4 linked regions of the Arabidopsis thaliana genome follow. The protein of the gene in region 2 interacts with the protein of the main gene of each other region in a pairwise test. Each region holds a gene or a part of one and is shown on either strand. Other genes may lie near its edges.

What was found.
Region 1: the proteins of AT2G43420 (region 2) and AT5G49130 interact in a protein complementation assay, tested with the Arabidopsis thaliana proteins (one large-scale study listed by BioGRID).
Region 3: the proteins of AT2G43420 (region 2) and AT4G34220 interact in a protein complementation assay, tested with the Arabidopsis thaliana proteins (one large-scale study listed by BioGRID).
Region 4: the proteins of AT2G43420 (region 2) and AT2G38510 interact in a protein complementation assay, tested with the Arabidopsis thaliana proteins (one large-scale study listed by BioGRID).

What each region holds. Positions count from the first base shown.
Region 1 is NC_003076.8:19,912,934-19,920,710, forward strand, and holds AT5G49130 (MATE efflux family protein), read left to right. Parts: upstream 1-2,938; 5' UTR 2,939-2,970; coding exon 2,971-3,036; exon of another isoform or gene 3,037-3,149; coding exon 3,150-4,592; 3' UTR 4,593-5,034; downstream 5,035-7,777. Other genes in the region: AT5G49140 (Disease resistance protein (TIR-NBS-LRR class) family), read right to left, coding at 6,152-7,210.
Region 2 is NC_003071.7:18,029,039-18,038,204, reverse strand, and holds AT2G43420 (3-beta hydroxysteroid dehydrogenase/isomerase family protein), read left to right. Parts: upstream 1-3,022; 5' UTR 3,023-3,268; coding exon 3,269-3,515; intron 3,516-3,665; coding exon 3,666-3,755; intron 3,756-3,832; coding exon 3,833-3,966; intron 3,967-4,052; coding exon 4,053-4,223; intron 4,224-4,365; coding exon 4,366-4,482; intron 4,483-4,577; coding exon 4,578-4,657; intron 4,658-5,062; coding exon 5,063-5,255; intron 5,256-5,343; coding exon 5,344-5,446; intron 5,447-5,814; coding exon 5,815-5,989; intron 5,990-6,144; coding exon 6,145-6,301; intron 6,302-6,381; coding exon 6,382-6,448; intron 6,449-6,560; coding exon 6,561-6,712; 3' UTR 6,713-6,937; downstream 6,938-9,166. Other genes in the region: GLX2-1 (glyoxalase 2-1), read left to right, coding at 141-203, 584-766, 864-1,067, 1,371-1,494, 1,739-1,839, 2,158-2,232, 2,305-2,403, 2,490-2,636; FPA (RNA binding protein), read left to right, coding at 7,216-7,485, 8,857-9,099.
Region 3 is NC_003075.7:16,378,250-16,386,664, reverse strand, and holds AT4G34220 (Leucine-rich repeat protein kinase family protein), read left to right. Parts: upstream 1-2,196; 5' UTR 2,197-2,610; coding exon 2,611-4,291; intron 4,292-4,419; coding exon 4,420-5,012; 3' UTR 5,013-5,192; downstream 5,193-8,415. Other genes in the region: AT4G34215 (carbohydrate esterase, putative (DUF303)), read left to right, coding at 5,473-6,063, 6,271-6,462; SK11 (SKP1-like 11), read right to left, coding at 7,204-7,662.
Region 4 is NC_003071.7:16,120,472-16,127,284, forward strand, and holds AT2G38510 (MATE efflux family protein), read left to right. Parts: upstream 1-3,513; coding exon 3,514-4,974; 3' UTR 4,975-5,064; downstream 5,065-6,813.

The sequences.
Region 1 (7,777 bases), on a different chromosome or scaffold from region 2:
ATATTATTCTTACTAAACGTTTTTTGTTTAAATAAATAAATCATGTATTTGAACTTATTTACAATGTAATGACACTGACATTAATTATTTAGGAATGAAAATATTAAATCTTCTAAATCCTTGCTTTTAGAATTATTATGTCATTACTTAAAAGGCTCAAAATATAAAAAAATTAAATATTATTATTTATATATCTAGACTTTATAAAACATTATTAATATTTAAACTTATAAAAAGTTTAATATATCATAATTTTTTAATATTATTATATAATATATAGAGTTTTAAAAAATCTTAATTCTTTCCGTCATATTTTGTGACTCGAAATTTTAAAAATAAACATATATTAATCAATTGGCAAAAAATGTGTGAGTTATACGTCCCACATGAACTAAAATATTTAGACAATGATTCATAAATATATCATAAATAAGATTAACATTAATAAAATAATGATTTTTTTACAGGATGGGTTTGGCGGGACGCGATTTAGCAGGACGTTACTTAATAACAAATATAAAGTATAAAATAAAAATATTTTATAGCAAAATTTTATATATACTAATTTTAAAATATAAATTGTCTCCACGGTGTACCACGGGTTAAAATCTAGTTATTTAGTAATTATGCATCTCGTATAAACCAGCTACAAAAATATCAGTGGAAGGATCTTTATCAGCAAGCATATTAGAAAACATTAAAAAATGAATAGTAAACTATGAGTGGGGAAGCAAAAGAAGAGCGACGGCTTGCTATTGGAGACAAAGTTCATACCACACGAACTAGACGATGCATAGTATAGATATAGGTTAGGCATATGTCCATGCATATGTTACGTGTAGATTGAAAGGGCATCGAGATCAACGGTGGAGATGGAAGCAAGTAAAAATAGCCACGTGTGGAAAAAGCAAAAGAAGAGAAGAAGAAGATATAAGCGACGAAAGGAGAGAGGATATGTTTCCTTTGTGATGGGAACATCACAACTCTGTCTCTATTGGTACTTCTAGTTCACTACTTGTCTATGTTTTTTCTTTCAGTACTTAGTTTCCCCCACGATTTACACAACTTTCTTCTGCTCGTATTTACAGATTTTGAAGATTATTTATACATCTTTATATAGAACTACACATGAAATCGTATGAAAGCATGCATGAATCATGATTCATGTGTGTGAAAATTGACGGTATGAAGATGTGTATAAATTTTATACATCTGCGAAAATCATATCTTGTGGCCAAATATCGACCAATTGGAACGGCTTGCAAATTCTATGAAAACGATCGATATGAAAATCTGATTTACATATATAATAGTATTTTCAATTAAAAATCATTTTCCTCAATTTCTATATATGTGTATTTAGCATATATATATATATATATATATCAAATAAACCAAATAACTTCAATAATAATTTAAATATATGAAAATTAAAAAAATTCACTACTCATATGATATAATTCATCACTATAGAACTTATAAAATAAGATCCTGGTAAAAAAAGCATCAATCTTGTATTTCAGTAGTTTATAATGTTAAAATATATGTAATCAAACTTCTCATATTTTTATTAAAACCACACATGGGCTATCTAGCTAATTCACACACACATATATATATATATTGTTTTCGATTGTCATGATGATCATTTATCCACGTAAGCAGAGACAAGATGTAAAATGTCACTAGTTTATAGGGAGTGGAGTGGGAATAAGTAGGAAAAGGGAAAAAATTAAAGGAAAGGTATACATAATTTTCAAGTCGATTTTGGGTTGATAATTACAGTGAGAGGGAGACAACACATTGCGCTATACCTAATTCTAACTAGTTTCATTTCTAGACTGATGGACCAATCATATCACTTTCTACTAATATCGTTAGTTTGAGCTTCATAAATATCTTTTATCACATTTTATTTTAGAAAGGTTGTTGTTAGTTCTATGCATCTTTTTAAACCACACGAAGTTTCAAAAATATTCATAATAATATTTACGCCTTTATAACTAACATATTCAATTTCTTACATTTTATCATGGACAAAAAAAGAGAGTAGTTCCTCAGGAGAAATACAAATTCGATATCTAAAATCAAGTGTTAGTAATCTATTGGTTAATATTTTTTCAACACAAAGATTATTTCATGGTAAATGCATTTTTTAAGATAACAATTGTATGTTCGAACACTAGTTTAGATTCTCTATATGATTTTCCGATACTCAAAGAAACTATACACTCACTTTCTTAACAAATTTATTAGGCCAAATATATACTGTTTCACCGGAGATGCATTCATATTTACTATGGATTAGATAACAATTGTATGTTCCGAACACTATTTTAGTTTAATTTAGATTGCCTATATGCATGATTTTTTTATAACCAAAGAAAATATACACTCACTTTCTTAACAAAGATTAAATAAAGAGATAATCATAAATGGAACTTTGTACTAACAGAATCTTGAGAAGAAATTTGATTTGAGTTTTGTTCTTTTTTTTTTGTTGTTTTAAATTTCCACATGCCTATACTTTCGTTTGTTTATGTGACGCTTTTGTACGACAAAATCAGGTTTGGATTCGTACTTCTTTTAGGTCAATACATTCTTTTGTTTAATTCTGACCAAAAATAAAGAAATATGTTGTTTAATAAAAATGTAGGATATTGAGAGTCGTACTATAATAAAAAAATAAAAAAATCTCGAACTTTGATAGTATAAGAGATATACGATTAAATCTTGAACTTAATATCCTATATTTTTCTCAAACTATACTTAGTTTGTATTTATACTTGTATATATTAGAGTCCACACAAAGAAAAATGGATAACAAATAATGACATCAATATTTTGGGAACCCCCACCATGCCAAACCCAACTCCATGTTACAAAACAAAACAAATAAAATTTCTTTATAAAATGGCATCTTCTCTTCATATTTTTTAAATCTCTCATCTCAATAAACAAACACTAACAATGGTGGTCGAAGAAGATTCACGTCTCATAAATCTCCAACACAAGTACAACCCGACAATGCCCGAGGTACTAAATTAAATCTAAAACTTCTATTCTTAGTAAACTTCTTCCTCAGATAGAGTCTTTCAAATATCTCCTCTCTTATAATTATTATTTTTTTATTTAAAATATTTAAAAAGGTGGTGGAGGAGCTGAAGAGAATTTGGGACATAAGTTTTCCGGTGGCCGCCATGAGCATATTAAACTACCTAAAGAACATGACATCCGTCGTGTGTATGGGACGACTCGGTAGCCTTGAGCTCGCAGGAGGAGCCTTAGCCATCGGTTTCACCAACATCACCGGTTACTCCGTCCTCTCTGGTTTAGCCACCGGTATGGAACCATTATGTGGTCAAGCCATCGGTTCTAAAAACCCTTCACTCGCTTCCTTAACCCTCAAGCGAACCATCTTCCTCCTTCTCTTAGCTTCTCTTCCCATATCACTCCTTTGGCTAAACCTCGCGCCTCTAATGCTGATGCTCCGCCAACAACATGATATCACTCGTGTCGCATCTCTCTATTGTTCCTTCTCTTTGCCTGATCTTCTCGCTAATAGTTTCCTTCATCCTTTACGTATTTACTTACGTTGTAAAGGCACCACTTGGCCTTTGATGTGGTGCACGTTAGTCTCCGTCCTTCTTCATCTTCCCATTACTGCTTTCTTCACGTTTTACATCTCTCTCGGAGTTCCCGGAGTCGCCGTCTCTTCTTTTCTTACCAACTTCATCTCTTTGTCGCTTCTCCTTTGCTACATCTACTTGGAAAACAACAACAACGACAAAACCACTTCCAAGTCTCTTTGTCTTGATACGCCGTTGATGCTGTATGGTTCGAGAGACTCCGGTGAAAATGATGTGTGGTCAACGCTGGTTAAATTCGCTGTTCCGAGCTGTATAGCGGTTTGCTTGGAGTGGTGGTGGTACGAGTTCATGACGGTCCTCGCTGGATATCTCCCCGAGCCGAAGGTGGCGCTAGCAGCAGCCGCCATCGTGATACAAACAACCTCATTGATGTATACAATCCCAACGGCCCTCTCGGCCGCGGTATCCACGAGGGTAAGCAACGAGTTAGGAGCAGGACGGCCAGAGAAAGCAAAAACAGCGGCGACTGTGGCTGTCGGAGCCGCCGTGGCAGTGTCAGTGTTTGGACTTGTGGGGACCACCGTGGGGAGAGAAGCTTGGGGAAAAGTTTTCACCGCCGACAAAGTTGTCCTCGAGCTGACGGCGGCGGTTATTCCGGTGATTGGAGCTTGTGAGCTTGCCAACTGTCCTCAGACCATTAGCTGTGGAATCTTACGTGGCAGTGCGAGGCCAGGTATAGGGGCCAAGATTAATTTCTACGCCTTCTATGTAGTTGGAGCACCAGTGGCGGTTGTTTTAGCGTTTGTGTGGGGTTTAGGCTTCATGGGCCTATGCTATGGCTTGCTTGGGGCACAGCTAGCTTGTGCAATCTCCATTTTGACCGTTGTTTATAACACAGATTGGAACAAAGAGTCCTTGAAGGCTCATGACTTGGTGGGCAAGAACGTCATTTCACCTAATGTCGATCAAATTATTGTCAAATGCGAAGAAGGCCTACACTAACAGTTTTTCCTTCTCTTTTCTTTTTGTTCTTCATATATACTATCTCCATTTATGTCTCAATGATTTGCTTTTGTTTTAAAACTTATACATTTATGTAAGTGTCTTCATTGGACAAGGACAGAATGTAAAACTTTATGAAACACAAAACTGTTGAAGATTTTGCATTATTGAAGGGAGTGGAATCGTGGATTGGATGATGAAGACTTATATGGATGCGATGGCTAATGACCATGACGTGTAATATATATTGGGTGCATGAGTGTATATAGAGATACCGAACCACATGGAAAAACAAGAGCTAATTGGCCGGAACACATGTGCAAGCATGTGCATGTGTACCCATACAAAATAGGCATCATATTAGTGTCCTTGTGGCTTCTCGCTTCTTTTCTCCCACCTTAATTATCTTTCACAACAACTAAAGCTTTAAGCTCATACTTTCAGAAACCTTTAAATGGAAATATATGATTCTCATTTTCATTCAATTGAATCCAAACTAATGTTTACATGTTGGCAGTGGAATAAGCAGTTAGTATGTTTAATGAGGTTTAAAATGAAAGAAACATCATATACACAGTTTCAAATTACTACTGATAAAATATTATAAAATTTGTATCATTCAGATCAGAAAAAATGTGGCATAGAATTAATTATTAACAAAAAACAAAAAAAATGGTGATCGGTGATGAAAGTAAGTTGCCTAATTTCATGCTTGAAGCCATTGTATTTGATAATAACTACGTACGATTGCAAGAGAATTTTGCATGACTATCTTAAAGATATATTATTATTAGCCCTGAATATATTGCGTAGATATATTATAAAAAAATTGAATGCAAAATTATCTATGTTCCGGTAAGATTAGTCAATGAGAAATGGTAAGTCTTAATAACAAAATTTTGTTTTTTTTCGCCAACAATTTTTTTAGTTTTTTTGGGTAAAAGTAGAATAAAGAATCAACAATTAGAATTAGCCACGAATATATTTGGGTGTAGTGAAAGTAAGCCCGATCGAAGAAGATAGGTGGGGAGGGGATAAGGAGTGAGACACATTATGTTTTGTTTCCTTTGTTGTTAACAAATACTAAGACCTTTGAGGTTTGACGTTTTTTACCTCAAAAAACTTCATTACCTTCCGTTCGTACGTACCATGATGTGCCCTGCTTAATTAACACGTGTTCCTTCACCTTTTCACTGTTTTCTGTTGTTTATATTAACACTTTGGCTCGAGCAATTTTATCTACAATAGTCACTATTAAAAGAAGTTTTGATAAATCTTGAATTGAAAATTAGTCTTAAACCTTACCGATCTCTGTCAACATCACACGTACGGGGTTTGCAAGAACAAATCAAAGGCTTAAGCGTAAACTTGACACCACAATTATTAGTTGTTATTGTTGAACAAAATAAAACCAATAATGAAGCACTAATAACACAACATAACGTGCGAGTATTTTAGTGGATATAGTTTGAAATGAAGTTAAACTTTTAACATAAGTACTTTTTTTCATTTTCGAACGCTCCGACATCTTGTAGAAGTTCCTGATAGCTCCCGAATGCTTATGCATCTGTCAATATTTGTACACCACATTCCGTAATCTCGTGGTGTATGCTGCTGAATCCAAACCGTATCACATCCACTTCTTCAAGTAAGACTGAGTTAAATATAAACAGATGCGGTGTGACAAAGTCCTTGACAACTCCACCAAATCTATGTGCTGCGATGAGACGACCACTTTCACCTATGAGACGACAATATACAGTACAAATATTGTTCCTTTCGCTTGGGAAAAGTAGGATGCAAGCCTTAAATCTTAAAGATGAAGAACAAACATTTTCATCTTCTAGATGGATGGTCAAGGAACCTCCTCTGGCACGGTGACTGAACTCCAGAGGAACCTCTTTGCCAGGTAAGCATGCTCTCTTGTAAACCCATTGCTGCGTGATTACTCGTCGTGCTTCTCCATCGAAATTCATGGATTTGCTGAACTCGACTTTCGCATTTGGACAGTCGAAAGATGAAGATATTCTCTCAAGTGATTCACAATTTATTGCTGATAGAATCTTGATCGAACTTGGAAGCTCTGGCAGTGACACAAGTTTTCTACAATTATCGACGTATAAGTAGTGTAGCCAAGTGAGATCTTTGATACAATCTGGAAGCCTTTCAATACCGCTATCCGTTAGGTATATATACACTACACTCTTGGGGACATGTGAAAATATCTTGAGGTTTAGGCAGCCACTAATATCAAGGGATTCAAGGCGAGACCATTGACTAATTGATGGAGGTATTTCTTCTATCCCTGTGTTTTTCATAAAGATTCTTTCGATGTTCTTCGAAATATCTGGAAAACTTTTCAATTTTAAGCATCCTTCCATGTCAAGGACCTCAAGAGATGCCAAATTGATGTGAAGCGGTATAACTTCTAGCTTTTCACACATAGTCAGCCTCAACCATTTTAGTCTATGAAGATTCAAGACAGAGGAAGGAAGCTCCGCCAAACTTTGGCAACCTTCTAGACACAATGTCTCGAGACTTATTGCCTTTGAAAGATCCGGAACTTCTACTAAATTATTGGAGAAGCTCAAATCTATCGTCTTGAGATATGCAAGCGTCTGAATGCAAGAAGCACAACAACCAAAAAAAGAATGTATCAACAAAATATCAATAGTATAATAACATATGCAAACAAATTAAATAACATATCAATAAGATGATGATATATGCTATGCAATCAAAGAACAAATCAATAAGATGAGAATATATGCAAACTAAGAACAAATCAATAAGATGATTATATATGCAAACAAAGAACGTATCAATATAAGATAATATAATAATAACATATTCAAACAAAGAACACATCAATAAGATAATAATATAGGCTAAAGACAACATCAATAAGTTGATAATATATGCAAACAAAGAACACATCATTAAGATATAAAATATATGCTTATGTATGTTTGAATCATTCGGGAGAGTTTAGAAGAAATGAATGTACTACAACACTTACATAGACAAATAACATGTTTAAATATTGATGAACTCTTTAACCATTTTTCCATGGACCCGCATATATATAAAGATTGATGTGCTAGAGAAGGACCAAGTGGGCTAGTAAGTTAATGTTTAAGCATAATAAGAATAAGAAATTTCTTAAGATTAACTCATTTTAATAA
Region 2 (9,166 bases):
TCGTCATCACAGCTCAGGCGAGTAATTCTGAGTTTCTTCTATCTACGCGCAATATCTCTCAAAGGAGGCCTCTTCAAAGGTACCACAATCATATCCTCTCGTTTCTATCTGAAGAATCAGAGAGAAGAGATATATAGAGGATGCCTGTGATCTCCAAAGCTTCATCTACCACCACCAATTCATCGATTCCTTCGTGTTCTAGGGTTTAATCTCTCTTCCTCTTTTTTACTCTTCTCTTTGATTCAGTCTTTGCTTTTGATAATTCCGATCTGGTTTTGTGGTTGGTACCAGATTTAGCCTTTTTTGAGTTTATTCAGATTTTCACTATACCGATCTTCGTTTGTGTGCTGGAAAATTGTTTCTGTGGATTCCTTTGAATGTGTGCTAGTGTTACTGATTCGATCATAAGGCTCAATTACTATCTGCTATTGACTGGTTTGGTGAAACTGGCGGTTGAATTATCTATTATAAGCTTCTATGGGTTTTTTTTTTTTGTCAACTGTGTTTAGTAGTCTTTGTTTGGCTATCTTATAGTACTATTTTGTGTCAGATTATGATTTGTTGATTGAATTTCATGAAACAGATTGGAGGTCAGCTTTGTGTGTGGCCTGGTTTGAGACAACTTTGCCTCAGGAAAAGCTTATTATACGGAGTAATGTGGTTATTATCCATGCCACTGAAAACATTGCGTGGAGCTAGAAAAACTCTTAAGATTACTCACTTTTGTAGCATTTCCAACATGCCATCCTCATTAAAAATCGAACTGGTTAGTATGCTTTTCATCTTGAATCTACTGGTTGAAACAACTCTGTAACAATCTGCTGAAGATATTATTAACGATCTATTTTACTGAGATGTTTCAGGTGCCCTGCAGTAAGGACAACTATGCTTATCTGTTGCACGATGAAGACACCGGAACAGTTGGAGTCGTTGATCCTTCTGAGGCTGCACCTGTTATAGAAGCATTGAGCAGGAAGAATTGGAATTTAACTTACATTTTGAATACTCATCATCATGATGATCACATTGGGGGGAATGCTGAATTGAAAGAAAGGTATGGCGCAAAGGTAAGAGGATACTATTTTCTGTTTAAAACTGTATGACCTTGTTTCTTGTGTTGTTTCTGCTCTTTGCGCAAGTTAGCCCTCTTTTTATTTTGTTTCCTTGGAGTGTCTCTTGCCTCTGATAGCTGTGAAACATTGAGCTCTACAATACAATGGTTTGGTTTTGAGATGTCGTAAAGTATTAGTCTTACCAGAAAAAATGGTTTTTTGGACCTTTTTGTTTTGCACCTTTGTCGAGTTGTTCTTTTCGTTTTTGCTTCTTTTATATATACTCAAGTGTTTTTATGTGACTTATGTTGCCGACAGGTGATTGGATCAGCTGTAGATAAAGATCGGATTCCTGGAATTGACATACTTCTGAAGGATAGTGATAAGTGGATGTTTGCTGGCCATGAGGTTCGGATACTTGACACTCCTGGCCATACACAAGGTTTGTAGCTGCCATAACCTCTACTGTAAAATACTAAGAACACATCTATACAGTCAAATATTGCCAACGTTAGAAACCTTTGGTGGATCACATATTAGTATCTTATTTGTCATTCTAATTTGTTATCCTCAATACATTACTGTGTAACTGCTCTCCTTTTTTATCGTTCTAGTGTAGTACAACTAGTAATTAATGTATACTTGGTGCCATGTTTTATCACTTAACTGTACTTATTCTCAAGCAGGCCATATTAGCTTCTACTTTCCCGGGTCAGCGACAATATTCACAGGAGACCTGATATATAGCTTATCCTGTGGTACCCTTTCAGAAGGTACCCCTGAGCAGGTAACATCAATTTCAAAAAGCAATATTTCAACCTTCTCGACCCTTGCACTGTTATGATTATTTTCTTGTGGCAAAAATTGTGCCAAGTGATTTGTGGTTTTCTAAATCATGTTTCTTTTTCAACCTTCATATCTTTTTACTGTTATGGTTACTTTCTTGTGGCAAACTGTGCTGAGTCAAATGGTATAGACTTTATGGAGAGATCACTTGGGACTTGGGAGTACTCTAATAACCGTACATTGTAGTTTCTTTCACAGAAGCAAACTTATTGTGCTCTGTCCTTTTTAACGAGAAAACCTTTTTTGCCTTATGACTCAGATGCTTTCATCACTCCAAAAGATCGTGTCTCTACCAGACGATACAAATATATACTGCGGCCGTGAAAACACAGCAGTAAGTTCCACGCACATAAATACTCTTAATTCACATTGTTCAACTCTCTTTTATATCTCCTCCATGATACAGGGCAATCTCAAGTTTGCTCTATCCGTAGAACCAAAGAATGAAACTCTTCAGTCCTATGCAACTCGAGTCGCCCATCTTCGCAGCCAGGGGCTCCCATCGGTAAAACCTCTTATCTCTTCCCTATCTCCTCTTTCTCTCTAAACCTCTCTCTAGATTTCATTTACTTACGGATTTGTTGTCTGTAGATTCCAACGACTGTCAAGGTTGAGAAAGCGTGTAACCCATTCCTCAGAATATCGAGCAAAGATATCCGAAAATCTTTAAGCATTCCAGACTCAGCAACCGAAGCTGAAGCATTGCGTCGTATACAGAGAGCCAGAGATCGTTTCTGAAAACTTGGGTATATTTTCTTATTTGTATAGAAAAATTTGCAAGTCAATCATCAGCTGCAAAGATCAATATTTTATATGTTTTGGGCTTTCTTCAGTTATCATTTGAAGTTGTGTATTCAACACAAAAAAATCTAAATATTTAGTTTAAACTCAATTATTAAATTATGAGATTTTCAAGTGTAATGAATGCTTCAACATACATACACAAGTGTATAGATAGATACGGTTTAGTTTCTCTCTACAAGTGCTTACCAAATTTCTAACAATGGAAATCATATGTTTGGTGGATTGATGGAATTGGCTCACCAAACGTGAAAACGCAACCGTGCGTCTACGATTTAATATTAGCTTTACTAGATTTGTTTGTAACCAAGGAATAATTATACAGATAATTTACATAAATTAAGTCAAATCCATAGATTTATGGCAAAAAAGTGTGAATATTAAATTATAATTACACAGCCGAAGAATAAAGGAAAACGCTAAAAGGTTGCGCGAGTGGAGAGTCTGCCCGCCAAGCAACCCCTAGTATTCAGCTTTTTGTGCACTGATCCAACTCGACTCGGCCTTTTTCTCTGAGTTGACTCGACCGAGAAAAGGCGATAGAGCTGGGGTTTAATTCGGCGATAACAATGGACGAAGATTCCGTCCATGGCGATTCTCACCTCAAGACATGTGTCGTCCTCGGCGGACGAGGGTTCATTGGTCGATCGCTTGTCTCCAGATTGCTTCGTCTCGGAAACTGGACAGTCCGAGTCGCAGATTCCGGTCACACTCTCCATCTTGATGAATCCGATTCGCTCCTCGAGGATGCTCTCTCCTCCGGCCGCGCTTCTTATCACTGCGTCGATGTTCGTGATAAACCTCAGATCGTTAAAGGTTTTCCTCTTATTTCCTGTTGCACTTTGTTAGATATGACATTGATGGATCGGTTTTTGGTATCTAGAAAATGCTATGGGGGAGTGTTTGGCTATTTGAGATTTTCGGGTTCTGATTTGAGTTTTGGTGTGACTGTTTTGTTCCTTGCAGTTACCGAGGGTTCCTATGTTGTATTTTACATGGGAGCTACTGATTTACGTTCCCATGATTACTTTGACTGCTACAAGGTTATAGTTCAAGGTAAAGTTCTTAGTCACTTCAAGATGGTTTACCATTATATTAGTTAAACTTGGGTGGTTAATCGATTTCTCGTATAGGTACAAGAAATGTGATTTCTGCCTGTCGTGAATCTGGAGTCAGAAAACTTATCTACAACAGTACAGCTGATGTTGTTTTTGATGGTTCCCAACCTATACGTGATGGTGATGAATCCTTGAGACGTCCTTTGAAGGTAATCCTTGAGCATGTTTGTTTAGTTGGTTTTTGTCGTTGGTCTTTTTCAGAGATGATATCTGTTTTGCTCTGATTCTCTTGCAGTTCCAATCTATGTTGACAGACTTCAAAGCTCAAGCAGAAGCGTTGATCAAATTGGCTAACAACCGAGATGGTCTCTTAACTTGTGCACTTCGCTCTAGCATTGTATTTGGACCTGGTGACACAGAGTTTGTACCTTTTTTGGTGAATCTAGCCAAGTCCGGATATGCAAAGGTCTTACTATTAGTTCATCCCATTGTTGCGTTTTTGCGTCTACGTTTATTATCTTATTATACCTGGTAGTATTCCTTGAGCTTGATGCATTCTTAGTTTTCCTTTTTTGGAGGAATGACTGTCTTAGTTTTTAAAATTTCAGTTTATACTCGGGAGTGGTGAAAATATCTCTGATTTCACTTACTCGGAGAACGTTTCTCATGCACATATTTGCGCCGTTAAAGCATTAGATTCACAGATGGAGTTTGTGGCTGGAAAGGTAACCTCTTTGAGTCAAAGTGTATTTGCCAAATCACTCCTGAAAGCGCATGAACTTTATATGTGATGAATTTTTACTGTGCCGACTTTATGTAGGAATTTTTTATCACAAACCTCAAGCCGGTCAGATTTTGGGACTTTGTAAGCCATATAGTTGAAGGTCTGGGATACCCAAGGTAAATAAGCATCCGAACAGTTTTTGATACAATGAAACTTGCTGTGAACTCCTTTTATCTTTCTGTTTCCTGATTATCAATGTAGCATGGGAAAAAGGCTCCTCAGAACTTCTGAACCTACCTTGAATGTTCCCTTCTTAAAGCAAAAGATCTTAATTTTCTGTTGATAGATGTCCTGGAGACATGTCTAGAAGAACCGTTTCGAGAACAGCCATATTCAATTAGTTTTTTTAGATATAAACTATCTATACATGGTGATTCGCTGATATTTAGTATTTTATACATGGTCGTATATGTTTCCTTCTCCTATGTCTTAAATATTGATCATTTTGAAAAGTTTTAGATCCTTAGAGCTAACTTTCTGGTTTACCTGTTTTGATATTTTTTTTTCCTCTTTAATTGCAGACCATCCATTAAACTTCCTGTTCGGCTGGTTTTGTATGTTTTCTCACTTCTTAAGTGGACACATGAAAAGGAGGGCCTTGGGAGTAATTATGACACAGCACATCAGTATGCTCTGTTAGCTTCATCAACGAGAACTTTTAACTGCAATGCAGCTAAGAAGCATCTTGGTTACACACCTGTTGTGACACTTGAAGTGAGTTTGTTGGATAGTATTTTGGCTTTTTGCATATTCAGCTGCTTAGTACCTTCCTTGGATTTATTAGCTCTTGTTGGATTTGTAGGATGGTATTGCATCAACGCTTCAATGGTTCTCTCGGGATCTTGAGAAGTCTGATGACACAATCATTCAATCTACTGCAGATCAGCTTCTTGGTTGTGGGAAAGGTTAGAACCATCTCGCTATTAACAATTATAATGCCTTTTTGAAGTGTTCTTGGCTAAGTATTCAGTTGTATTGCTTGAAGTCCGCATCTCATCTAGCTATGGATATGATGATGCATGTTCACAAGGCTTAACCTGGAAAGAATCTATCTCTATTTTCAACTTAGATTTGTTTGCTTCTAGATGTCTAGAACATGCTGAAGTATCTGCTTGGTTAATTTACATCTTCTTCCAGTCCATGTAATTTCATGCGAGTTCCAACTTTATTTCATGCACATATAAACAAACTCAAAGCGAATCTGGTCAATGCAAGCTTTTAATATTAATCTCTTTAAACTGACTTAGCTTTTCATCTCTATGTTCTCATGCAGTTGCAGACATCTTGCTGTGGAGAAATGAGAAGAAAACCTTCGTTTCTTTTCTTGTCCTAAACTTGTTTTATTACTGGTTCTTCTTTTCTGGAAACACATTTACTTCATCTGCAGCCCAACTTCTGTTTATATTTGCTGTTGCTCTCTATGGAGTCTCTTTTGTGCCGTCAAAGATGTAAGTATTGGTTCCAGAACTTTACCATTATAGAAGGCAGTGAAAATAAGTTGTGATACCAAAATTGTCCTATCAAAGGATGATGCACCCATGTATATATATTTCACCTTTGAAATCTATATGCAACTAAGTGACAGATTGATTTATTTTGACAGTTTCGGGTTTCAAGTCAACAAAATACCCCCATGGAGATTTGAGATCTCCGAATCCGCTGTGAGAGATCTTAGTAGTGATATCGTAGTTGTCTGGAATCAAGGAGTTCGCAGTTTTAAATCCTTAAGCAGTGGAGGAGACTGGATCAAGTTCTTCAAGGTACAATTCTACTCTTTATGCTCACCAAACATGAAAAATATCTCATTGCTCTCGTTTCCTAAAACAAAACATAAAAACAGATTGCAGGATCACTGTATCTCCTCAAACTGATTGTATCCCGTTCATTGGCAGCATTTCTTTTCACAGGTACTCGAACAAAGCTTTTGTTTTCACACTTCATAAACATGATTAACAACTTCATAAACATGATTAACAACTTCTTTATCCATAACATTTTCTCTACGCTTTGCTTGGACAGTTATGTCGTTCTCATTCACCGGTTTCTTCATCTACGAGCAATACGAGCTTGAGCTCTACCACCTAGCCCGGATATTCGTCGAATGCTTAACATTTATTAAAAGGATGGTGATACCTGTTTCTGATGCTTCATCTAAACCAATGTTCATGTGAAGCTTCCAAAGTCCTCCACTAAACGAACACCAACAATCCCAGAGACTAATTGCAGTTATTAGATGTCTTATGTACAAACATTATGCTATCAGGATGTAATCTTCACTGAGAGGGGATGGATATATGATTATTTACGAATTTGCCATAACTACTATCAAAATGCACCGTTTTGATCCGGTTTCCAAAAAAAAAAGAAAAAAAAGGAAAGTATCCTTATATATCCTTTAAAAGCCGCCGCTTCGATATTCCCTGGCCTCTCTTTCTCTCACAATCTAATCTTCTTCGTCTTCAAACTCAATCTAGGGTTCTCTTCTCCTCTCTGTAGGTAGGATTTTGAACACCCAAATCTCTCATCGAATTTTTCTTGCTCAACGTATCATCGCACAATTCGTCTCTCGTTTTCCGTCACGTGGATAATCGAAATCTCATAATCCCAAAGGTAAAACAATCAATTCTGGGATTGGAATTTTGGATCCATAGGATCGTCAATTGAAACAATCCCGATGGCGTTATCTATGAAGCCATTCAGAGCCGATGATTCCGGTTTCCAGTCAAACAATCTTTGGGTCGGTAGCCTAACGCCGGAGACGACAGAGTCAGATCTGACCGAGTTGTTTGGAAGATACGGCGATATTGATAGAATCACGGTGTATTCTTCACGAGGCTTTGCGTTTATATACTACAGACATGTGGAGGAAGCAGTCGCAGCCAAAGAGGCTCTTCAAGGAGCAAATTTGAATGGAAGTCAAATTAAGATCGAATACGCACGACCGGTTTGTTCTTATCTATATCTTCGTTTGTTCTCTAACTTTGATTGTCTTTTGTCAACGATTATACTCTTTTTGCGAATTCATAGTCCAGGTTCACAAAACTTTGATGATGCTTGTTTAGTCCAAAAATTTCTTGTTGAATCTGTTTTTTTTTTCCTCATCGTACAAATCAAAGTCGAAACCTAGTTTTTTTCTATTATACGTCGTTAGCTTAAGGCGAAACCTGATCCGATCGAAACGTCTTTTCTCAAATTACTTTGGTTATATCGAACTCGCGCAAAGCCAAACCACAGAGAAGCTCTGCAAAATTTGATGTTAAAGCATATATAACTCTTAGCGAATGAGCTCTGCAAAAGAATACATCAAACACATGTTTACTCTCGTTTATGCGAAGAAGGTTTAATCCGATTGTCGTTTATCTGCAAACTTGTATCCGCGTTTAGCAGTCTGATTTCAGGTTCGCTTCAGATGTTAAATCTCACAAGCTTGAGTATGAATGTATTGCGTACTCCACTCGAAATTCGCAATGGTGAAAATTTGGAAGCGAGCAAACTCTATCATCGGCCAAACAGATAAGAAATTTTGGAGTTTAAAAGTTCAGTTTCCTGCAAAAATCAAACCGCGTGGAGAAATTTGTCTATGGCGGTACGTAGATATCAATAACTGCATCTGCGAAACAGAAAATTCTGGCAACCGTATCGTCCTAACTCCTAGTATCGCTGGCACATATCCATATCAGTGTGAGGGAGTTTTGGGCTTGTTTTGGCTCGATGCTTCAGGAAGACAAATTACGTGGTTGTTAAGGCGGCTAACTCTACCAATCAGAAACGCTTTATTCGAAGAACCATGTTTGTTCCTCAATTCCCATCCCTACGTACAATCTGGGCTTTCCCATTGTAGTTCCTTAGGAAGTTGACTTCTTCACAACCATTCTGGGATTGGTACAGTTGCAGTGGACAAGACAAATATTCATTTGCAGGCAGACTCAAATTTCAATGTCTTGCCGGCTTTGAGTACTTAAATGGAGTGTTCAGGGATTGGTTTATTTGGGACTCAGGCAATGGATAAAGACAGGAATGTTTTGCAGAAAGTATTAATGTCTTTCCGGCTTTGGGGACTACATACTTCTCCTACAGACAAAATCTGATGTTTAGGCAAGAGAAACTATTAACACTGATTTAATAGAGAAAGAGGAGATGGTTTCTCCTTGCGGCAATTTTATTTGTTTAGGAAAGCAATTGATATGAATTGGTGTCGTAGTGTAGTTGAAATTACTAGTTAGTTTGTGTGTTTAGTTTCCTTGATGTTTGATGCTTTATTCTTGGCAACCTATCTGGGTAGTATCGCCTTCTTATCGACCTTTTCTTGTTGCAGGCAAAACCTTGTAAGAGTCTATGGGTGGGTGGAATCGGCCCTAATGTCTCCAAGGATGACCTGGAGGAAGAGTTCAGCAAGTTTGGGAAAATCGAGGATTTTAGGTTTCTCAGAGAACGCAAGACAGCTTTCATTGATTATTATGAGATGGATGATGCTTTACAGGCTAAGAGCATGAATGGAAAGCCTATGGGTGGTAGCTTTTTGCGTGTTGATTTTCTCCGGTCACAAGCGCCAAAAAAAGTAAGCACTCTTGTGGCATTTGATTTTTACTTTTGAAAACGCTCCAGTAAACATTTTGTTTAGTTTC
Region 3 (8,415 bases), on a different chromosome or scaffold from region 2:
TGACTGAAAGCGAAATCCAACTACAAAGTACGACTTGCATATTATATTTTATTCGTTAATATTTGTAAGCTGTGGTATAAGAAACTTGATGCGAGTGTTTGGTCCTTGAATCTTTTACAATAGTATGCATCGTTGACGATTTCATGTTTATCAAAGTGAGTGGTAGGTTAAGGAAGACTAATTTAGATGTACGACCGTTGATTATAATTTTTTCATGTATAAATGTTGATACACAATTGGTGGTGCAAATTGAAATTACAAATGTGTGCAACTTAGTCAAATGCTTAGTTGGTAGATAAAGAGATGTCTCTTGGTGCTATGTCAGAACCTCTATTGGACCAGACAAGAGAGCATGGCGTGGATATTTATATTTGAAGTCGATAATTCGTTACCCTTTTGGGCTTTATATACGATTCCCTCTTCTTTACAATAAGTGGTTGGATGATTGTTTAATATTTCTAAAATTTCAGATTAGAAAAAAAAAAAAAAAAGAGAATTCAAAAACAATTTAAAGAATAAAACACTATACATCTACCAGCTATGAGGAGTCCATAACTAAGATATAGAGTAATATGTTGGATCTGTGTCAAAACAAATATTTTTTCTCAGATCATTCTTTAAGTACAATCTGACCATCATTCTTGACGTATATAATATGTGCAGAGTTCTTGGGATTCACTAACGTTGTCATCATGGCATATTCATGAAATATGTCGACAGATTAAATCCGCTTAAGATCATATTTTATAGCTATAGTCAAATATTTAAGATCCATTGTCTACAATAAAAGATGACATTATCTTTTATGGGGTATCAGATCGGCCATAGGCACATTATTAGCTATCAGCCTCCGACCAAAAAAACCAAGGCATTGAATGGATGTATATAACTATATAACTTTACAGCTTTTGGTTTATAGATGAGACGTTTACACTGGGGTAAGGATGAAGTGAAAACGAAAAAAAAAAACATTAGACCTAAAAAAAAACAAGAAAGAGAATGAATATACTTTATAGATTGTATAAACGACATCAACCCGTGATCGTTACGTCTAGGACCAGCCAGATGAATATACTTTATAGATTGTATTTTTTACTTACGTCCAAAAAATCTTATCTTATGTGTTTTAGAAATTGACTAGGTTTAATCCCCATCATATCCATAGGCCCCTTTTATAATGCACATGTGAGATTCTTAATGATCACCATTTAAACTTTCTCCGCGTTTACACAAATTACGTATCTTAAATAACTAACACTCAACTAAAGCCTTTGATGAATATTATTATTATGCTACTTATACACGACAAGAAATTGTCCTAACTACCTACTTGTTGCGAATGAAGCAAGCAAATATGTATTAAGATAATTTATGTTTATGCCTAATTATTATCTTAATCAACAAACTATAATTTACAAAATTGTTTTGTGTGACTGTTGCTCTCTCGGACAACACTCGTTTATTTCGCATCAATTATTCTCATTCTTATGTGACTCACTCAAAACCAAATAAGATGGACCACTTCGAGCCTTGTTTCTGTTATATATTCGTCCACAGGCTACACTGAAAGCGATGCGGTCATAGCCCATTCTCTCGTCGCTTTCATGTTTGTTCTCCAAACCTTTTTTTTTCTCCTTGATTGTGCTACTGCTTTGGCTTCTTTCAATTCTTAGATATTTTTAATTTTATTTTCAGCTATAACTTCATTTAATATGGCTAAATAGTTTTCTTGGTTTAGAGTCTTTAGACTAAGGAATAATTTCATGACCATATTTTTAACTTTTCGATTTTCGAAAGATTCAGTTTAGGCCTAACTCAGTTTGCCAACTTGTGTAGTGTGTGAACAATTTACACAAAAATCAAACTCTGCAAGGTCATTTTTCCAAAATTTTGATTATTAAAAAAATAAAAAAAAAGATGAGGATAACTGACATGTCAGTTTTGTGGTGTCCCTTGTTTTGTCTTTGATTAATGTATGGTTCATTTCATACGAGACCCTCTGTTTTGGCAAACCTATAACGGGTTTTCTCTTATAAGTTCTAAGATGAGAAAGTACTACATTGAGATATAATTACTCAATTACATACTGTACTTAGTCGTAATAATAGTCGGTGATTATCCTTTTAAACTTTCTATGGACCGAAATGTTCCAGAAAAAAAATGCAATAGTTTAGACTTTTAACTTTATTTTATTAGCTTTTCTTCATGTAAACCAAAAATAACCCAAAAGCAAGCGGTAATAATTATTCTGTCCCCCATGAATTGCTTTTACTTTAGTGAATGAAGTAGATTTTAAATGCGAAAATATGGCTGCTGCTGCTCATTTACAGTTTTACACTAATGAATAAATATGATCAAGAATCATTGATTCTACACCTTGTCCCATGTCAAGTCTAGTCAAAAGCTTATTTTATCAACTCCGGCTCTTTAAGATTCTCTCTCTCTCTCTCTCCTTCACCATCTCAGAGATTGCTCCACTATCTCATAGATTTGGTGACCAGAACAACTTATCTCTTGAGTGGTTCAACCTCTATCTCTCTCTCTTTCTGCCATGAAAATGCAAAGCCAAATGTAATAGTTAGAGAGGGAGAAACCAAGAACTGAAAGACCATGACTTCCAACAGAAGCAACCTCCTGTTCTCATTAGTCCTCTTCCACTTTCTTTTTGTCCCCACACAACTCCAAGCTCTTAACACTGATGGTGTTCTTCTGCTTACTTTCAAATACTCCATCCTCACTGACCCTCTCTCTGTTCTACGCAATTGGAACTATGATGATGCAACACCATGCTTGTGGACAGGTGTCACATGTACAGAGCTTGGGAAGCCTAACACACCAGACATGTTCAGAGTCACAAGCTTGGTACTTCCCAACAAACACCTTTTGGGTTCCATCACTCCGGACTTGTTCTCGATTCCATATCTAAGGATCTTGGATCTGTCTAGCAATTTCTTCAACGGGTCACTCCCGGACTCGGTGTTCAACGCCACTGAGCTTCAGAGTATCTCCCTTGGAAGCAACAATCTCTCTGGTGATTTGCCCAAGAGTGTCAACAGTGTGACTAATCTCCAGCTCTTGAATCTCTCAGCTAACGCATTTACTGGCGAAATTCCGCTCAACATCTCACTTCTGAAGAATCTAACGGTCGTTTCCTTGTCAAAAAACACCTTTTCAGGTGATATTCCAAGTGGTTTCGAAGCAGCACAGATTCTTGATCTTTCTTCAAATCTTCTCAACGGCTCTCTTCCCAAGGATTTGGGAGGAAAAAGCCTGCATTACTTGAACTTATCACACAACAAAGTCCTCGGCGAGATTTCTCCAAATTTTGCAGAGAAGTTTCCAGCAAATGCCACAGTCGATCTCTCCTTTAACAACCTCACAGGCCCAATCCCAAGTTCCCTTTCTTTACTTAACCAAAAGGCTGAGTCTTTTTCCGGTAACCAAGAGCTTTGTGGGAAGCCATTGAAGATCCTTTGTTCAATTCCTTCCACTCTTTCAAACCCTCCAAATATCTCTGAAACTACTTCACCAGCAATAGCAGTTAAACCAAGAAGTACAGCTCCAATAAACCCTTTGACAGAAAAACCAAATCAGACAGGAAAAAGCAAGCTAAAGCCAAGCACCATTGCCGCAATCACAGTTGCAGATATAGTTGGTCTAGCTTTCATTGGTCTACTCGTGCTCTACGTATACCAAGTCAGGAAACGCAGAAGGTACCCAGAATCTAGCAAATTTAGCTTCTTCAAGTTCTGTCTGGAGAAAAACGAAGCCAAGAAATCGAAACCAAGCACCACTGAGGTCACAGTCCCAGAATCACCAGAGGCCAAAACGACATGCGGTTCATGCATTATCTTGACCGGAGGAAGGTACGACGAGACATCGACATCAGAGAGCGACGTAGAGAATCAACAAACCGTTCAGGCATTCACTCGAACAGATGGTGGGCAACTGAAGCAGAGCTCCCAAACTCAATTGGTTACAGTCGACGGCGAGACTCGGCTAGATCTAGACACTCTGCTAAAGGCATCTGCTTACATATTGGGAACCACCGGAACCGGGATCGTGTATAAGGCGGTGCTGGAGAACGGCACGGCATTCGCGGTGAGGCGGATCGAGACGGAGAGCTGTGCGGCTGCGAAACCCAAGGAATTCGAGAGGGAGGTTCGTGCCATCGCTAAGCTTCGTCACCCAAATCTCGTCAGAATTCGTGGGTTCTGCTGGGGAGACGACGAGAAACTTCTCATTTCCGATTATGTTCCCAATGGCAGCCTCCTCTGTTTCTTCACCGCCAGTAAGTTCCTCTGTTTCTGTAAGCGCACGAAAAAAAAAACACAGTATCATATCTAAAATACGCAAGTCATTTGGTACACATTAGCACTCTAAAATACGCATCACTGTTTTTTTGTCCTTCACAAACAGCTAAGGCAAGCTCAAGCTCATCTTCTTCGTCGTCATTACAAAACCCTCTTACTTTTGAAGCACGGCTCAAGATAGCAAGAGGAATGGCTAGAGGACTATCTTACATCAATGAGAAGAAACAAGTGCACGGTAACATCAAGCCCAATAACATTCTCTTGAACGCTGAGAATGAGCCCATCATCACCGATTTAGGGCTAGACCGCCTCATGACACCAGCGCGTGAATCTCACACCACTGGACCAACTTCGAGCTCACCGTACCAGCCACCGGAATGGTCCACAAGCCTGAAACCAAACCCTAAATGGGACGTTTACTCCTTTGGCGTCATACTTTTAGAACTTCTCACAAGCAAAGTGTTCTCGGTAGATCATGATATAGATCAGTTCTCAAACTTATCCGACTCTGCAGCGGAAGAGAATGGCCGGTTCTTGAGGTTAATCGACGGTGCAATTAGGAGTGATGTCGCTCGCCATGAGGATGCTGCAATGGCGTGCTTTAGGTTAGGGATTGAATGTGTCTCTTCCTTGCCTCAGAAGCGACCATCCATGAAAGAATTGGTGCAAGTGTTGGAGAAAATTTGTGTTTTAGTTTGATTTCTTAATTCGTATAGCCTAAGTCGTTTTGGCAATATAGAAAGTTATGTGTTATGTATGTTTTAGATGTGTTGCTTAATGCTTACTTTACCCTCGCATAATACTAACTCTTACTTTAGAGTTTAGAATGTGTTTCACTGTTTTGTTATGTTATATCACAACCAAAAAGCTATATAAAAATTAGAATCTTAACCGATGAAGCCAATTAAACCAACACAACGGGAATCACTTAAAATTAACTCGGTCTAACTTCCTAACCAAACTTTTAAACAGACCGACCCAAACCGGACCAAGATTCTAGTGTCCACGCCTCAACATCATCTTCTCCGATCAACTCTGATGCTCACCCCACCAAACTTTACTTTCTATTCAGACAAGACATCTCGATAGCTTATTTCTATGGTCTGATCACACGATAGTGTATTCTGATATCATCACTCTACCAAAGAGATACCAAATTATGGAAGGAGGATCTATCACTCCCGGTGAAGATAAACCGGAGATCCAATCTCCAATTCCACCAAATCAGATCTTCATACTCTCTGGACAAAGCAATATGGCAGGACGCGGCGGCGTCTTCAAAGACCACCACAACAATCGCTGGGTGTGGGATAAAATCCTTCCACCGGAATGCGCACCAAACTCATCGATCCTCCGCCTGTCCGCAGATCTCCGGTGGGAAGAAGCACACGAGCCACTACACGTTGACATTGACACAGGTAAAGTGTGTGGAGTAGGTCCAGGAATGGCGTTCGCTAACGCGGTGAAGAATCGCCTGGAAACAGATTCGGCTGTGATCGGGTTGGTGCCGTGCGCTTCCGGTGGAACGGCGATAAAAGAGTGGGAGCGTGGAAGCCACTTGTACGAGAGGATGGTCAAGAGAACGGAGGAGAGTAGGAAATGCGGCGGAGAGATCAAGGCGGTGTTGTGGTATCAAGGAGAGAGTGACGTGTTGGACATCCATGACGCCGAGAGCTACGGGAACAATATGGATCGTTTGATTAAGAACCTCCGTCATGATCTCAACCTTCCTTCTCTTCCCATTATTCAGGTCTCTCTATCCTTTGTGCGATTTTAGCTTCCAATGTCACATCTACATAGGTTGTGACGTTGTGTTATTGGTGAAAGAGTTAAGTTGCAGATTATGTAATTTTAGGCTTTTACAATGTACATATCAGTTGTTGCAAGTGATTTTGTCTTTTAGAAATCGGTAGGTCAGATTTCCATTGGTTAATCTTGATGGTTTTGATTGAAGCAGGTGGCAATAGCATCGGGAGGAGGATACATAGATAAGGTGAGAGAAGCACAGTTGGGACTGAAACTGTCGAATGTGGTCTGTGTAGATGCTAAGGGATTGCCGCTAAAGTCCGACAATCTTCACTTAACCACCGAGGCTCAAGTCCAGCTTGGTCTCTCCTTAGCTCAAGCTTACCTTTCCAACTTCTGCTAGACAATCAAGTAAGTTCGTGATAAGGTTCATGAATCTTTCTGAATGTGTGTGGTGGACTAGTTATATGGATATCACAAAACTTTGTAATAATGGATTGGTAAAACATTGATGTTCATAGTGAAGAACAATTAGTTTGCTCTAGATACTGGTGGATTCTGAAATCGATCTAAAATATTATTAGCAGCTCTGTTTTAGTCCTTCGTTCATTATAACTCTAGGATCAATTGAAGTTACGAATAATGATATCGTTGCACTCCACTATACATAAGTATATTTCATAGACTAGAAAGTCAAATAAAACCATAGAGAAGTTTAATGTTGTATTGGTGATGGATAATTGTTTTTGTCAGGTTGACGATCGGGTATTGGTGAGAAATTGTGGTATTTTCAGTGTGTTCTAGCAGTTTAATGTTTGTTTGTCTACATCTCCCAAGAGGTGATATGCAGTCTAAGTGATGGACGATGGTACTGATTATATGTAAATTTGTTATCCATGTAGAGCACACATAATATTCTTTCCGTTTGTCACATTATTATCTACATTGCAACTACTAATAGACATGGCCGATAACTTTCCTACGGATTAGTCATTCATGGTTCAAGTTTTTTTCTCATAAAAAGAAACACAAATCATAATAAAGATGTAGACAAAGTTATCATAATCGATCAAGACGTTAAAAAGAAAACACTAAAAAACGAAAAAAAGAAAAAGAAAGCTAGTTAGGGTTTTGATTCATGGGCTCATTCAAAAGCCCATTGATTCTCCTTACGAACAGCTTCTTCTTCCTCAGGTGTAAAATCATTCTCAATGTTGAAAGTTGAACGAATCTCCTCTGGAGTCTTGCCTTTGATCATGTCCGCAACAGTTTGGCATGTGAGATCAAGCAAGCTTTTTATGTTGAGGTAATTCGCAGCAAGGATGAGTTCAAAGATGGTGGATTGTTCGAGATCCATGAACTTCTCGTCCCAGTTGTTGAGATCCTCTTCAGAGATAGGATTAGCCTCGTCGACGTGGTGTTTCTTGCAGTACTCGATCACTTTCACAAGAATCTTGCTTTCCACGTTTGCAAGAGGGATTCCATCAGCAACGCAATCGTCTTCAACCATATGCGCTATGGTCTGCGATTGGATTGCTACCGCTTCTTCCACCTCAAACGACTGACCATCGGAGCTCATCAACACGATCATCTTCGAAGACATTGTGTGTTCCTTGTGGAGGAGGTTTTTCACTGTGAAGCAAATTTGATGAAAGATTTAAGAATTTAGAGAGCGAACAAATTGTGTTAAGGTGATGAAGTTGTGAAACCCTATGCGTCTTTGTATTTATAAGCCCTAGCTAGAGTCGGTGACAACAACATATTATAATTCAACGCGTGGTACACTACGGACAAATATTTTATTTATATATATAATAATTTTAAATTTTATAATTTTATATTTAGTAATAAAGTTATATAATTTTATATTAATCTTGTAATTAAAAAAATTAGTGATGATAAAATAATAAAATAAATATTTTACCTGTGTTATATCAATCCAAACCCGTCTCGATGTATTTCCTATCAATCCAAACCCGTTCTGCTATACTTCCCGTCTCATGATATTTTAATTTTTTATGTTTAAATATTAATAATGTTTCATAAAGGTAAAATATATCACTAATATTCTTTAAAAATAATAATTGTTTTTGACTTTAATGTGATGACATTCTTTGTAAATTCTTACTTTACTAACACAAAAGTACTTTAAAAAGTACTTCAAAAATTTTAATATATATAATGTTATTTTTTGGTAAAAATTATTATAAATAAATATTTAATTTAATCATAATTTGGGATTGATATACTTGTGTTTTTAACTAACTATTTTTTATTTTAATAACCTAAATTTAGGCATTTGTTAATATTTTTTGAATCTGCAATATCAACTTAATACATGTACAATTTATTTTTG
Region 4 (6,813 bases), 1.9 Mb from region 2:
TAAGAGAATTGCAACTAAATTGCCTTTAAGATGACACCATCATTGGTTTTGTTTTTTACACAATTTCTACATTATCCAATAAATTTATAGTTAACTTGTGTATTGCATGCAACTAGAAGCTCTTAATCACCATTATTTATTTTATGGTTTTTTCCTTTCAACAATGTATGATAATCATGATGTTTATTCTTATGTTAACCAAAATGATTCGGAATATATAAAAAATATTGGGAGAAGGAATCATAAATGTAACAAAGAATATAAAAACTCATTTCATAACGTAATTTTTAAAAAACATTACATCAACATTAGTACAAATCGTTTTACTGATGTAATTTTATGTCATTTCAGTGGACAGTTTAATCAACTTTCTGGCAACATCTTAAAAAAATTGGATGTATATGGTTTGAGTTTTTTTAAAGAAAAGGGCCTGAAAAATTGTATCTAAATATATAACAGAATAACACACATTAATGTAGAGAGCCCCCATATAACATCTCATTGCTACATTCATGAAGGACATTATCTTGATCCATTACCGTTTTGAGTCTTCAAGTACATCAGCTGCAACAAAAATTATAGTGCGACCATCATGAGATTTACGATGTATTCCACATCGTCTTCTCATTTTTATATGCACTGAACCAGGACAAATCGTCTCCATTATATTTTAGGAAAAAAATTAAGCAATATAACTTCAAACATGTGTATCAGTTCACTTAATTAGAATTATATCTTTTGTGTACCTAGTTATCGATGGGAATGTTCATCCATTCTTAATTATACAAGCTTTCTCAAAAGATGATATACATAGAGTTCGCAAAGCTGTTTACTTCTCCACTTTCATCATGAATGGCATTCTCCTTTGGTTGGTACTTGATCTTCTTATATATATATATATATATAAATTCAAAATTCCCAAATAATATATAGTGGATAATTGTACTTGATCTTTGGTGTCATTCTCTTCGTTATCCAAATCAAACATACATTACATCCTACGCCTCCCAAATTATACAAAAGCATATACCCCACATTAGTATTTCATTCCTAGGATACTTGTAAGATCCAAACACAAATTATATAGTAATCACTAGATCCCGGATATCATCTACACATTAATACCTAAAATGATAGTCAAAGCAATATGAATTAAAGAAGAAAATTATAATCAGCATCTGTAAAAAAGTTATATACATGAAACAAATATTCAACCGTTAATCTCAAAGAGAAGAATATAATGAAAGGCAAGAGTTGGCAATTATATTATTACTTTTACTATAAGTGTAAACTCATAGTATTATATTTGTTTTTTTACTATAAGTGTCAACAAGGCTTTCTATAAGTAGAATGTATAAAGGCAACACTTTAGTAAATTGGTTCAGTCTAAGAGACTGACTATGTGGAATTTTTTATTAATACAAAAACTCAACTGGCTACATATATAAACGAAGAAACAGATGTTCCCAATAAAAAAAACTTTAAAAAAAAAAAAAAAAAAATAGTTCAAAAAAATAAGGAAAAGACGAGTAAATATGAAATTAATTAGAGTGGACGACTAAGGAAGCGTACATAAATACGAGGGGAACTTAAGACATTCTTCTTCTCTCTCACTGTCTCTCTCACACACACAAACTCGTAGCTAGCTTCTATGGCAACCCTTTTTTCGTAGTCACCAACATATAAATCTCTTTGATATAAGTGAAGAAGTGTGATATATAGTATATAGTATATACAAATATATATGAGCATGTGCAGGTCTAACATGGAAAGCAGTGAATCTGGAGAGATTATAAATGGAGAATGCGATGTTTCAACATCCGTCAAAGGAGAAAATAGCGGCAGCGCCAAATTCTCTGCTGGTCTCCGTCGCATCCCTTTCAATGAGGCTTGTTTCTTTTTCTTTAATTTCTCTTTTCTTGTTCTTACATTTTCTTCAACAAAAAAATTCCAATTAGCTTTGACAAGTCATCACTCTGCTTATTCTTTGATTTCATAGTTTTCTTGTGTTTTTGTTTGTACTACTAGTTTTCGTGATCAGGACCATCCTAATATAGAGACGTTTGCTACGTTTAACCAGAGAATTTGGTGATTTTTGATGGATTATTATATTGTTTTCAGTCACTTTCGCAGTATTTTTTGGGTCTGGTAAATAATATGTAGTTCTTGGAAATTGATCTTATACTGGATTGAATGCTTCTTTTGACTGTTTTTATAGCATTTTAACCGAATATAATGCATCCCTTTTAAAAACATAGCATGAATAATGCTTCATCTATCTTTCACGTACTTGAGAAATACAATGTTGAAAATTCATTTATATATAAGTTTTCTCTGTATATATATATATATATATATATGTGTATATATGTTCATATTTATGCCTAAAGCGTTACTACTTACTACTAGTATGATAAATCCTCACTTTCATGGACTGAAAGAGATGCTTTTTGTGTTGTACTTACTTTATATTTCTTGACAGTTGGGTTGTACTTACTTAGGAAAGTGTTCTATATAGGTTTCCTCTCACTCTATTCTTTTTATCAGTTTCTTTACTTAGTACAAATATAATCTAGTTACTTTCCGATTTATTTTCTTGAAATCCTTATCCGATTGTTTATGAAATGTCAATAGTAGTTCATGATACTTTTACAAGTATCTATGCGTAAAATATTTTTTATATGTTTTTAAAATGTGGATATTCTTAATGAAGATATCATGAAATGAAAGGTAATATCTAAGCTGATTTTGTTTTTTCAAAAAGAAAACAAAAAAGGTGAGCTTTTAAAAACCCATGATGATTTTTATTTAAAAAGATCCTAGAATGTTGGTACAGTTAGCCATTCGCTTTTCTGGCACTTGTGAATTTGATTATATATTCAGTTCTAAAAGTTATAGAGTTTAAACCTTTTTCTCTTCCTTTTTCAACTTTCTCATCCCAGTCCCAGTGGCCATGTGATGCGACCATCTTCCTCGTGCTTACAAATTGTTCTTAATTTTATAATATGATAAAATATCATTTTCCGTATTGTAATGTAATGTCCTTCTGTTTCACAATAAAATTAATTTAAGATTTTATTTGACAAAAAGAAACAATTAAGGTACAATGATTTTTTTAATAACTCATGTATAAAAAGCTCATATAAATACCATTTTCATACAACTTATTAGAAAAGAAATTTGTTTGTTTATTGTGATAAAAATATTAATAAATGATATACCAGAAAATTTAATATTTTTAGTGAGTGCAATATCGTTAATTAAACGAAATTAAATCACGTACAAAATATTAAACATGATTAAAAAAGGATATTAAAGACTAAATCATATTTTGAGGATAATTTTTTTTTTTTTAATATACAACATACTCGTGTTGCGCTCTTTCTATACACTAATATCTTCTCGAGTGCGTTTTGCTAGAACTAGAAGCCTATAGAACATGTGAAAAAATAAAGAGTTGTTCAATTGAAAAACCTAACAAAAATAACATAATTTTTTAATTTTATTTTTCCCATGCAGGTGGGAGAGGAGATGGCGTCACTCACAAAAATAGCTTGCCCGATTGTGATGACATCACTCCTCATATTCTCAAGATCAATAATCTCAATGTGGTTCTTGAGTCATCTCGGAAAAGTCGAACTCGCTGGTGGTGCACTCGCTATGGGCTTTGGAAACATCACTGGAGTCTCCGTACTTAAAGGCCTTTCCGTTGGTATGGACCCAATCTGTGGCCAAGCCTTCGGAGCCAAACGTTGGACCGTACTTAGCCACACGTTTCAGAAAATGTTCTGTCTCTTAATTGTCGTCTCTGTTCCAATCGCCGTTACGTGGCTCAACATCGAACCCATTTTCCTACGGTTGGGTCAGGACCCAGATATTACCAAGGTAGCCAAAACCTATATGCTCTTCTTCGTCCCTGAGCTCTTGGCTCAGGCCATGCTCCATCCGCTTCGAACGTTCCTTAGAACGCAAGGCTTAACATCACCGCTCACGATATCTGCCATTGTATCCATTCTTCTTCATCCTCTCTTCAACTACGTCTTTGTCGTGCGTATGCGTTTAGGCGTTAAGGGTGTGGCCATCGCAATGGCTTTCAACACTATGAATATCGACGTGGGACTGCTCGTTTATACGTGCTTCTCGGATTCTCTAATCAAACCGTGGGAAGGGCTCGCTTTGCGGTCACTTTTCCGCGGCTGGTGGCCGCTGCTTTCTCTAGCCGCACCAAGCGCTATCTCGGTGTGTTTGGAGTATTGGTGGTATGAGATCATGCTTTTTCTTTGTGGGCTTCTTGGGAACCCTAAAGCAAGCGTGGCCGCCATGGGAATATTGATTCAGACCACCGGGATACTATACGTAGTCCCGTTTGCTATTAGCAGCGCCATTGCAACCCGTGTAGGTCACGCTCTTGGAGGCGGCCAACCAACACGGGCACAATGTACGACCGTGATTGGCTTGATACTCGCGGTAGCGTACGGTTTAGCAGCTGCTGTTTTTGTGACCGCGCTTAGGTCGGTTTGGGGAAAGATGTTCACGGACGAACCGGAGATTCTCGGGCTTATTTCGGCTGCGCTTCCGATCTTGGGGCTTTGCGAGATTGGAAACTCGCCACAGACGGCTGCTTGCGGAGTCTTGACTGGGACGGCTAGGCCTAAAGATGGAGCACGCGTTAACCTATGCGCATTCTACATTGTGGGCTTGCCTGTGGCAGTTACGACCACGTTTGGGTTTAAGGTTGGGTTTCGTGGGCTATGGTTTGGACTGTTATCTGCGCAGATGACGTGTTTGGTAATGATGCTTTATACGTTAATCCGTACGGACTGGTCTCATCAAGTGAAGCGGGCAGAGGAACTTACCTCCGCTGCAGCCGACAAAAGCCATTCGGAAGACGAAACCGTCCATGCTGAAGTACAAGACGATGATGATGTGAGTAGCAATGATCTGGAGATTGGTTTACTACAAAATACGAATTGACTAGTTTAGCTAGAAATGTTAAAATTATCAATCGACAATTTTTAACGGATTGTTAATGATATAGGAAACTTTTTTTTTTTGGCAAACTAAAAATACCGAAGATAGATTTGTGTCCGAACTGTTAACTAAGATTTTGTGAAAAGACTCAGCCATTTAATTGGTTGAGCTTAGCTTTTTCTAACACGCAGAAGTATGTAGTGAGAACAGTTGTGACGAATCTATCAAGGATCAATCAAGATCAATCACAATTCTACTTATGTAAACTATATATTCTGTAATTAGAAGTCTCTAGAACATCTAGTCTGTATATAAACAATGTAAATCATCTCAATACAAATCATCCAATTCTATATTCTTTATATGGTATCAGAGCATCATCGATACCTAAAAATAAAAAACCTAAAAACAGCCGCCTCTCTCCTTTCTTTCTTCTTCTCCCCCGTTGATTTTTTTATTCCTCTGTTTTTCAAACTTCAACCATGTCGAATGTTTCTTCTGAAACCGTCAACCTCAACAACACCTCCATTGTTCACATGAACATGTCGAATGTGACAAAACTTACGGCCTCCAATTACATAATGTGGAGCCGCCAAGTCCACGCTCTCCTTCACGGCTACGGTCTCACTCAATACCTTGATGCGACAAAAGCTGCTCCAGCTCGTGAGATTACCGTCAACGACGTTGCCTCTGTGAATCCTGAGTATGAAGCCTGGAGTAGACAAGATCAATTGATCTTCAGTGCTCTCATCGGCACTCTCTCTCTCACCGTCCAACCAACGGTGTCCCGCGCCGCTACCTCTGCTGATGTTTGGGCCACTCTTGCTGGTACCTATGCCAAACCGAGTCGTGGCCATATCAAACAGCTCCAACACCAAATCAAACAATGGAAGAAAGACACCCGCACCATCGACGAGTACGTTCAAGGCTTTATCAATCGATTTGATCAGTTGGCATTAATTGGCAAAATCATTGACCATGAAGATCAAGTTGATTACATTCTCGGGGGTCTGCCAGAAGACTACAAACCCATTGTTGATCAGATGGAAGGACGTGACACACCACCAAATGGATGTTTAACAAACAGTTGTGACGAAGATGGATGTTTTATCCAAATGGCTTTGAATAGTGTATAGAACAAGCAACAAGCCCGATTCGGCCCAAACCCAACCCCATTTAATCATATGTGGTTTTAGTAGTTTAAATAAGCTACTTTGAGTCTTTGACAACTGTTCTTCATATCCATCATAAATTGTGTAGCATTTTACATTTTACATTTTACGTTTGAAACTTAATCATAAGTTTTGTGAATCAAAGTTAATTGATAAAAAATCACTCTTAATACTTTTCCACGTCTACATCACTGTCATTTTCATTTCAGACTTGAGGCATTCATTTTTCACCATGTTTCAGGAAATATACTGCAATTTCTTACACGTATAGAGAGGTCCTTAATAAGTATGAGTAGCTATATCGTAATGTATTTATACCAATGTACTTTATGCTCACACGTGTTCGGTGTACATATAATATGTTGCATGTGGCATTTCGGTGCCTAATTATCAAGTTTTTACCGAAAATAAGGGAAAAGTATATAATCATGTAGCCTTTCAGACACCGACAAAAATTTTAAACAGTAAATACGATTTTTCTGTTCTTCTTAAACAGAAAATGATTAAACATGAATGAAACTTTTAAAAGCTTATTTTGACGACGTGTTCTTTAGCCAAATAGACGACATTTAAACACATCACCGGACCGGAAAAACACCAGTTGAAAATAAAATAAAAAATGTATTTGTAAAAGTCTGTTATTACAAGAAAATATGGTCGATCGTTCCAT